2 linked regions of the Arabidopsis thaliana genome follow. The protein of the gene in region 1 purifies or fractionates together with the protein of each later gene. This does not show direct contact. Each region holds a gene or a part of one and is shown on either strand. Other genes may lie near its edges. The genes, in order: SEX1 and SUMO3.

Region 1 (4,846 bases):
CGTCTTTCCGGAAAGTTTAGTAACAAACACCTATTTAGAGGGAGTAATAACTTGGCATTAGAAGATACTGATGGATGTATATCTAACCGGAATAGAAATAAAAAAGAGAGCAAGATAGTGATGCTATCAACTGACCAAAATCGCACTGCCTTCAAGCTTGAATGTTTTCTTGCTAAAGACTGGAGTGGTTTCTTGTTCCTCCTTTGCTTTGGCGTATATCTCCAGAGTTGTTAAGGACCGTGGTTCAGATGAGGATTTGGATTCTGGTTCAACAAAATCAGCAACATGCTTATAGATAAGCTTAGTCAGGTCCCTTCCCTTGCGCTGGATCTTGTCAGTGTTATAATTTTTTTTACGCTCTGGTTGCTTGGAAACTTTTTTCTTTTCCTCCCGTCCACTGGATGATGTCCCATTAGATTTTGGGGATTCATTACTGTTATCTTTCTTCAACAGCTTTGCTCTGAGATCTTCCACTGAAGCACCTCGCATCATTTCCTCCCGTAGCTCCGTCCGGGCGGCTTCATACTCCTCCTATTGATCAGAGACAAATTATTCTGCTTAGCTATAAAATAATGGATTTACACAAAAATGCAGAGAACTTGATATTGATGCAACTGAGATATATACAGGTTCATCAGATAAAGCAACAAATATATTTTCAAGAGCCACCAGAGCCAACTAAAACGCTATTACCAAAAAATCAATCAAGAGCATTTTCAACTTAGCTAACCTATCATCAATTTGCTGATCAGTCCAATATACCAGAATCTGCATCTAAATCAAAATTGTTGGAAATTTGTACTGGTGATGGAATCAACTAAATGGCTGGTGAGAATCATGATTCCTCTTTATGTGAATTGTAGAACAACATAAAAGGTGAAGAATTTAAAAATATATGAAGAAAAATAATCCTTGAAGATATGCTTGTATAGGTACAACGTCTGACTGACCTTCTCTTTCTCAGGGTTGTACATTTGTTTACCCTTACGTTCCCATCTAAGATATGCTTGGATCTGTACAAGATCTTCAGGAACAGAAACATTTTGTTTCACATTCCTTTCCGTTGGTAAGTTTATATGAAAATTCTGACCATTATTTTTATACCTGCATATGTTTTAGATTATGAGAAACGACAAAAATTGTAAACAGAATTAGGTTCTCTGCTCAGGCTTAGTAAGTAAGAAGAAGCGAAAACAAGCTAACCATTTGTTCCGACTTTCGTCAAATATAAGGAACTCAATAGCGTGTATGGCAGGATCATCTATCTCTAGTTTAAGGTGAGAATTGCCACCGGACTGCAGATAAGAACTCAAAGCATCATTTGGAAATCTTAAGTTGTACTGGTATCAGCTGGAAATCATACCATCACAAGTAGCGCTGTAATGTACGTCGAAGAATGAATTCAAAGCTTACTTTCACAAATGGAGTTCTAAGCGCACTGTTCTTGAAGTTTTGAGTTCTATCCGGAGAGCGAGAAGGTAGAACCCAATTTCTGACATGGAAAATAAGAAAGATAGTTAACTATACCATGTGCCATAACAAGCTATTACCTAGGAAAGTTGAACATCACTAGACAAGGACATACTCTTTGTTGTCAAGAATTGCACCCCAGTGTAGGAACAATGTGTCACTTGTATAAGCTATCTGGATATTTACTTCTCTTACAGTTGTAGAAGTGACTTCAACCTATTCAATTACATTCATAAAACCTACCATTAAGTCTACAAATGCCAACAAGATAGAAATTTCCATTATTTGTAAGGATATACTTACCAGTAAATCGATATTTCCGTCAAGACTAAATTTCTCGGCTGCCTGTTAAAGGATGAAACTTTTTAGCACACATGTCGATAAAATAACTATCTTATGCATTCAATTGGAAGAACAATGCATATGATTCAGGTCAATGAAAAAGTTTTGGACATGAAACGTCTAACATACATTGAGTAGTTGGAACCAAAATATCACATTCCAAACAATGTCAATAGTGGTGAAAAGTAAATCCATAAGAAAATAACCTGAGGATCCATGGCAAGGACAGCTCGTGGAACAAATGAGAGAGGTCTTCCTCCTGTTTCAGTGACCAGACTGCGTCCTGCCTGCTTAAGACCTTTCCCGTAAAGTTTTGATCTGCCAATCTTGCCAAGAGCCGGATTTGCTGTTGAAGTTTGGTACACAGAGGAGTTGAGCTTGTTTTGATGTTCAAAGTTAAGAGGACGAATCAAACCCCGGTTAAGTAAGTTATGCACTACAGAGTTACTCATGCTTTCTTGTCACTGAATCAAACTTGCCGGATCTGTTAAGTAAAGTAGAGATTATATAATAAGATAATAAGGAAAACAATGAAGCTTTTGCAATAGATGAGAAAAAAAAGGAACAAGTTATACTATTTGTCTCAAAAAGAAGAATCTGACAGAGTTAGACAAGAGAACCACACTTGTTATTTTTATTTTATTTTCACTTTGTAGAGAAACAGTTACTTCATTCTGCGAATGGAACATGTGCAATATACACTAAGAAGAAAAGAATCGTCTTTTATAGTCAAAACGAAAATATCTATCAAAAGAAAATTTGCAATTTGAATCAAATAACAAAAACACCGAAAGCAATCGAAATTGAAGGTAAAATTCAATTGAAAAAGATACCTGATGATCGAACCGAGACGAAGAAACTGAATACAATGAGAGAAAGAGAGAAGATCCCAGAATTTGAATGATCTTATGGATGAAGTGAGTGCTGGGGGGTTTCTTCGCTCTTTGTTCTTCTTCACTCACTCACACATACATACACTCACGTGTAATCGAAGTAAAAAACGACACTTTATCCTTCGATTCCACCACGTGGCACATCGTTATTCGAGCACGTAGGAGGAACGGCACGGAGAAAGAGAGCCCAGTGATACGTTGATGGACGGTATCTGTGGACTCCACCTTTTTTTTTTATTTGGGTGATATTTTCTTATTATATACAGAATCTTCTCACCGTTGATTTTAGCTTTTTTTAATTTTTCTTTCTTTTTTCTATTTTCCTGTTTTTGTCTTTTTGTTTTGATATTTTTATGCTTCGTTCTCTTGTATCTTTTTTTTATTGGTCGACATGTTTTTTTTTTTTTTTCTCTTGTGTTCACAAACCACGAATTGCAGAAGATATTTTTGTTTATCTTTCTATTCTTGTAGTGATATATATCCCAAGCCCACTTGTTCAATCATGTCAATTATATCCTAGCTAAACCTTATTTGGTGTTTTTGTGTGGTGTTTCTTCTATAGAGAGTTTTACACATTGTGGAAAACAAAATGTATGTTAAATATAGAAGCAAAGGATAATTTTGTATAATGTTATGTGTGTTTATTATGGTCCAATATTTTTCAATCCAAATCAAAGCAATTCTCACTTTCTTAAAACACTTAAAGACATTGAAACATGATCATTGAGCAAGATCTATCAGTTTTGCATGAAAGAAAAATTATTGAATGCTTTTATGATCATATCAAACTATAATATACATACAGATTTTAAGAAAAAGAGTTAAAAGACCATTTTAAATGGCAATATTTTTATCCAATATATGATATAGCCAAATTATTTTCTCAAAGATATTTTTTTGTTATGGATCCTGGGAAAAGTAAAACATAATCACACATATACTTTCTAAAAACATCATAATGATATCCATATCAATAATGAATTAGTGATAGTAGTTAACAAAACAAAAAGTTGTGCATTACTATAGTTTGTGTTTGTCTTTGTCACTTATTGTTTTATTTTTCGGTCAAAACTTAATCTTATTGTTGATAGTGAAAAAGTAAAGTGGGTTCAAGAAAGGAGAATGGAAAACATTTCTATCGGCAAATTGTTGAATATGAAAAAATCTACTAGCGATTATTAATTACACGAAATTCAAATATAATTAGTTACACCCAGTGGCGTTACATACGAATGATGGATCAACAACAAACATCTCTCTCAAAACAAAAACAACAAAAAGAAACCCAAATTTTAATTGCTTGAGATTTTTTATTTCTTCAATTAATTAGTTTTTGTTTTGAGAAAAATTAAATCAATTGTTCTCTTAAATCGATCATCTAATCAATGTAGACAACGCCAAGCAATTGCTGCTAATTTTTCTCAAGTCAACCACTGCATTTTGGATCGCATTAACCTGTTGTGTTTCAATGAACCCGTCCACACATGCACCGTAATCAGACACAGCCGCAGTTAGATACGTGTTCATCGCCGGCACATCACGTTTCCTTATGCTCTTTCTCGCGCTTGCCAAATTGTAAACCGCGTCGCCCAATGTCTCGTAACACGTGCTGACCGCTTGGTTACCGTTTTTGAACCTAGCTGTTTCGGCTAGAGCTAGTTTCGTCTTAGCCTCCAAAGCTTGGATGGTTCGGTGCGTGGCTTTTCTAGGGCTCGTGACACGTTTCACCAGAGGTCGGCACAAAGATGGATACGCGGTGTGAGAGCAGATATTGATCATACGCGACTCCGCGACTTGACCAGCCATGAGAAAGATCAATACGGCGGCGGATGCCGCGACTGCTGCAAAACGCAGCTGGAATGTGTCGCGGCCCGCCATTTTATTGATATTTATTTATGTATTTGAATTGAGAAGAAATTATCACCAGGTCATTTTTCAATGCAGGAGTTAATCACGTTATATATAGACAAGTTTTTTTGGTTTTGAAATTGTTGGTGGTGCGCGTTTTGCGTTTTCTCGTTTTATTTTAATGTAATGCAATCTGAGGTTTATCTTGTTTTAAGGAGATTATCTTCTTTTATCTTTTTTAAGCATAGGACAATACTTCTTTGATACATAAGTATACTCCAAAAACAAACTTT
Region 2 (3,502 bases), on another chromosome or scaffold:
ATCCAAGTATAGATTTATATGAAATATTTGATAGTAACATTGACTGATTCACAAGTTGGTTGTAACTAATATTTTGACTTAGCAAATTGGGCTAATGAACGCGTTTAGATGTGCGGAGGAAAAATGAACATTTTAAGGTTAGCTAAGCTAAGCAAACACCTCAAATTATTTTCCAGTAGTATAATAATGAATTAATCTAAATGGTCCATCTCCGTCCATGGATAAACAAAAAACGATATTTGTAGAGTTTAGTTGTCCTATACAAATAGAACTCTATCGCTAAGCAATTAATGTTTCCTTCTGATGTAAAACCAAGAATTTTGGATGACATTTACGGCTAGTTTTACTAATTACTTGGTGAAAGATGCTTTTTAGATTTATTTGAATTTAATAATTGTGGCCGAATATTAACGGTTATGTACATATAGGCATAGAATGTTAATACACATACGGTAATTACTACTACAGTTTGAAATATAGTTTTATCTTCGGTGATTGAGACCTGAATAATGAAACTAATTAAGAGTAGACATCATAATAACTCCACTATCAAAAGAGAAAATAATAGACATCATCATTTGGTAATATTGTATTTGATGATTATATACATGTTTTTGTTTGTGTATCAACTTGTCCACTAGGTGGTAATCTTATATGTATCAATGTATGCTGGTTTACATATACTTTAGTATAACAATTTAATTTTTGGATTATGAAAGTAACAATAATTTAATAATGTATCTATGGAGGTTGTCGACATCGTACGGTATGTTTCGACAAGGCCCTTAAGTCTTAAGTCGGTACATGAAATTGAAAATGAAACACAATGACAAGTCCATATGAAAATTGAAAACATTATAATATCCAGAGAGGTGTGTCACCTTCAGATTGACTTATTTGTAACTATTATGAGTTTATGACGAATTTCTAAATATAAACGTTAACTAATATATTCGTATAAATATAACATCATCATTATTAGTTTCTTATCAACCAAGAGAAAGAATTCAATGTGGTAGGTCACTTGGATGCTGTCCAACAAATTGAGTTTTAGATAGGAATGTTAGCATTGTCCCTGATCTTTACGTTACGATACAATGCCTATTAGTTTATCAAATTAAAAACTGGAAATATATTATGTCGGGCCGAAATAGAAGTCGTCACGAAACATAGACTAACCATTTACACACTATGACGGTCGACGTACATTATTTTTTAATATTAAATAATAACCATGCATGCATTAGAAGTTTAGAACATCAAGAAATATATAAATTTTATAAAGAGAGCTTGCCCTAAACTTTGTCAAATAATATCATAATTTTGAGTTTCTTTTTAAAATACCACAAAAGTTATGTTTGCTAAGATTTTTAAAAGTTTCTAACTGTTGTATTTTTTTTGAAATTATTAGATTACCGTGGTAATTAGATTTTATTTTTAAATATGATTTATAAATTTTCTAAAAACTATTTGGTCGGTTCACGAAAATGGGTTCCAACTTTATATACTGTGTAGAAGTAATTAAGCCCACATATGAGCATATTTGATCTTAAACCAGCCCAATAGCCCATTACGAATGCTTGATTAAACGGCAGTGTTTTCATGTACGAATTCCACGCTCTCCTAGCCGTCGGATGATAAGCTACAATGATTATGAGCCGTTCGATATATCACCACAAGAATCTGTAGATCAAAAGTGAGTGCGATCAAGAACTGGTTTCAGTCACTTTTTTGACAAGTCTCTCTTTCTCAAAAGTCAACCCCTTATTTTGCAATACTGTATTGTGAATCTCTCTATCAGGCCTTCGTATTTCTCACAGACTGGAGTTTTTGTTTCATAAAATCTGATAAAAGGAAAGATGTCTAACCCTCAAGATGACAAGCCCATCGACCAAGAACAAGAAGCTCATGTCATTCTCAAGGTCAAGAGCCAGGTTTTTTCACTGTGTTCCCTCTTTAATCTCCTTGAAATTTTCTGTCGTTGCTGCTTGGTTGATAATACTATATATACAGTTTCTTGATATGAAAACTTTGATGATACTCTTTTCCAAACTGTGATGATCTAAAGTATAGAGTGATTAAAATCTTTTTTCTTGATTGGTGATACTAAGGATGGAGACGAAGTCTTATTTAAGAACAAAAAAAGCGCTCCACTTAAAAAGCTCATGTATGTTTACTGCGACCGCCGAGGTTTGAAATTAGACGCATTCGCTTTCATTTTTAATGGAGCTCGTATAGGTGGCCTGGAGACTCCAGATGAGGCAAATCACTCTCTTTTTCATTTCCCTTTTACAATTTATATGTTTGTCAAAAGTGTATCATTTACTAAACCAAGATTCTCCAATTTTAAAGCTTGATATGGAAGATGGAGATGTGATAGATGCGTGCCGGGCGATGAGTGGTGGTCTACGAGCAAATCAGCGTCAGTGGTCTTATATGCTTTTCGATCATAATGGGCTTTAATTAGGAATAATTTGGCTGGCTTTGTGATATTTGACTACTTTCTTCAAGCAAAATTACTTGAAGTTTAAATCATGGTCGGTTATCGTGTGTGTAAATGACTCATGAGTGATTGGATCTTATGAATTATGATATTAATGGTATCTGGTTACGGATTTTTAGAATCTTTGTACTTTGTTAATTTTACAACCGTGAATAAACAACTCATCAAAACCTCTAAAACTCAAGTTGGCTAATTGTAAAAGGTCACACAACAAAACCATATTAAACAATTGAAATCTTTACTGGTTTGATCAAAATCAAACGGTTCACTTTGAACATCTTCACTTTTCCCAACTCAAACAAATCTACTCGAAAGCTGAGATTTTCACATTTTAAAATTCTTGGGTAGACACAGAAGTAACCAGCCCATTTGAGCCCATTAAGAATGCTAAAACGACATCATTTTAAGTTAGAGATTATACTCACTCACAGCCGTCGAATGATATAGATCAATGATTATGAACCGTTAGATAAACAAGAATCCGATGCGACCAAAGATAGTGGTTTCAGTCTTTTTTATTCTCTGCCGAGTCTCTCTCTCTCCCTCAAACCCTCAAGTTCTGCAATCCCGCGAATCTCTCTTAGGGCTTCGCTTATATCGCAGATCGAAGTTCTTGTTTCCAATCGCCGACCGTATAATCTGATAATAAAGTAAGATGTCTGCTACTCCGGAAGAAGACAAGAAGCCTGACCAAGGAGCTCACATCAATCTCAAAGTCAAGGGACAGGTTTTCTATTTCTCACTCACTCTCTCGACTTCTATTTCTTGCATTGTGTAACGATTCGTTGTCTGGTTAAAGTTTTGAGTGTGATTAGGATCTTTATAGCTTCTGATTGCTTCAATTCTAGGGTTTTGAGTTTGTCTGCGTTATTCCCAATTTCTATTCTGGTTAGCTTGTCTATGAGGTAGTGATTATTGTGTAAGCGTGACTTTTAATTGGCTTAAATTTGAAGCAAACAAAAGTTATCTGAGAATTGTGAATTATGTTTTGACTCATAA

The links.
Region 2: the proteins of SEX1 (region 1) and SUMO3 purify together in Arabidopsis thaliana (affinity purification with western blotting, with the first as the bait; one study listed by BioGRID). This does not show direct contact.

The regions. Positions count from the first base shown.
Region 1 is NC_003070.9:3,587,780-3,592,625, forward strand, and holds the start of SEX1 (Pyruvate phosphate dikinase, PEP/pyruvate binding domain-containing protein), read right to left. Parts: upstream 3,150-4,846; 5' UTR 3,097-3,149; intron 3,021-3,096; 5' UTR 2,646-3,020; intron 2,297-2,645; 5' UTR 2,265-2,296; coding exon 2,019-2,264; intron 1,816-2,018; coding exon 1,774-1,815; intron 1,687-1,773; coding exon 1,586-1,686; intron 1,493-1,585; coding exon 1,414-1,492; intron 1,296-1,413; coding exon 1,204-1,295; intron 1,105-1,203; coding exon 951-1,104; intron 532-950; coding exon 136-531; intron 31-135; coding exon 1-30. Other genes in the region: AT1G10770 (Plant invertase/pectin methylesterase inhibitor superfamily protein), read right to left, coding at 4,080-4,583. UniProt on the Arabidopsis thaliana protein: Mediates the incorporation of phosphate into starch-like alpha-glucan, mostly at the C-6 position of glucose units. Acts as an overall regulator of starch mobilization.
Region 2 is NC_003076.8:22,384,429-22,387,930, reverse strand, and holds SUMO3 (small ubiquitin-like modifier 3), read left to right. Parts: upstream 1-1,725; 5' UTR 1,726-1,859; coding exon 1,860-1,934; intron 1,935-2,111; coding exon 2,112-2,261; coding exon of another isoform or gene 2,262-2,352; coding exon 2,353-2,463; 3' UTR 2,464-2,674; downstream 2,675-3,502. Other genes in the region: SUMO2 (small ubiquitin-like modifier 2), read left to right, coding at 3,159-3,230. UniProt on the Arabidopsis thaliana protein: Ubiquitin-like protein which can be covalently attached to target lysines as a monomer. Does not seem to be involved in protein degradation and may function as an antagonist of ubiquitin in the degradation process.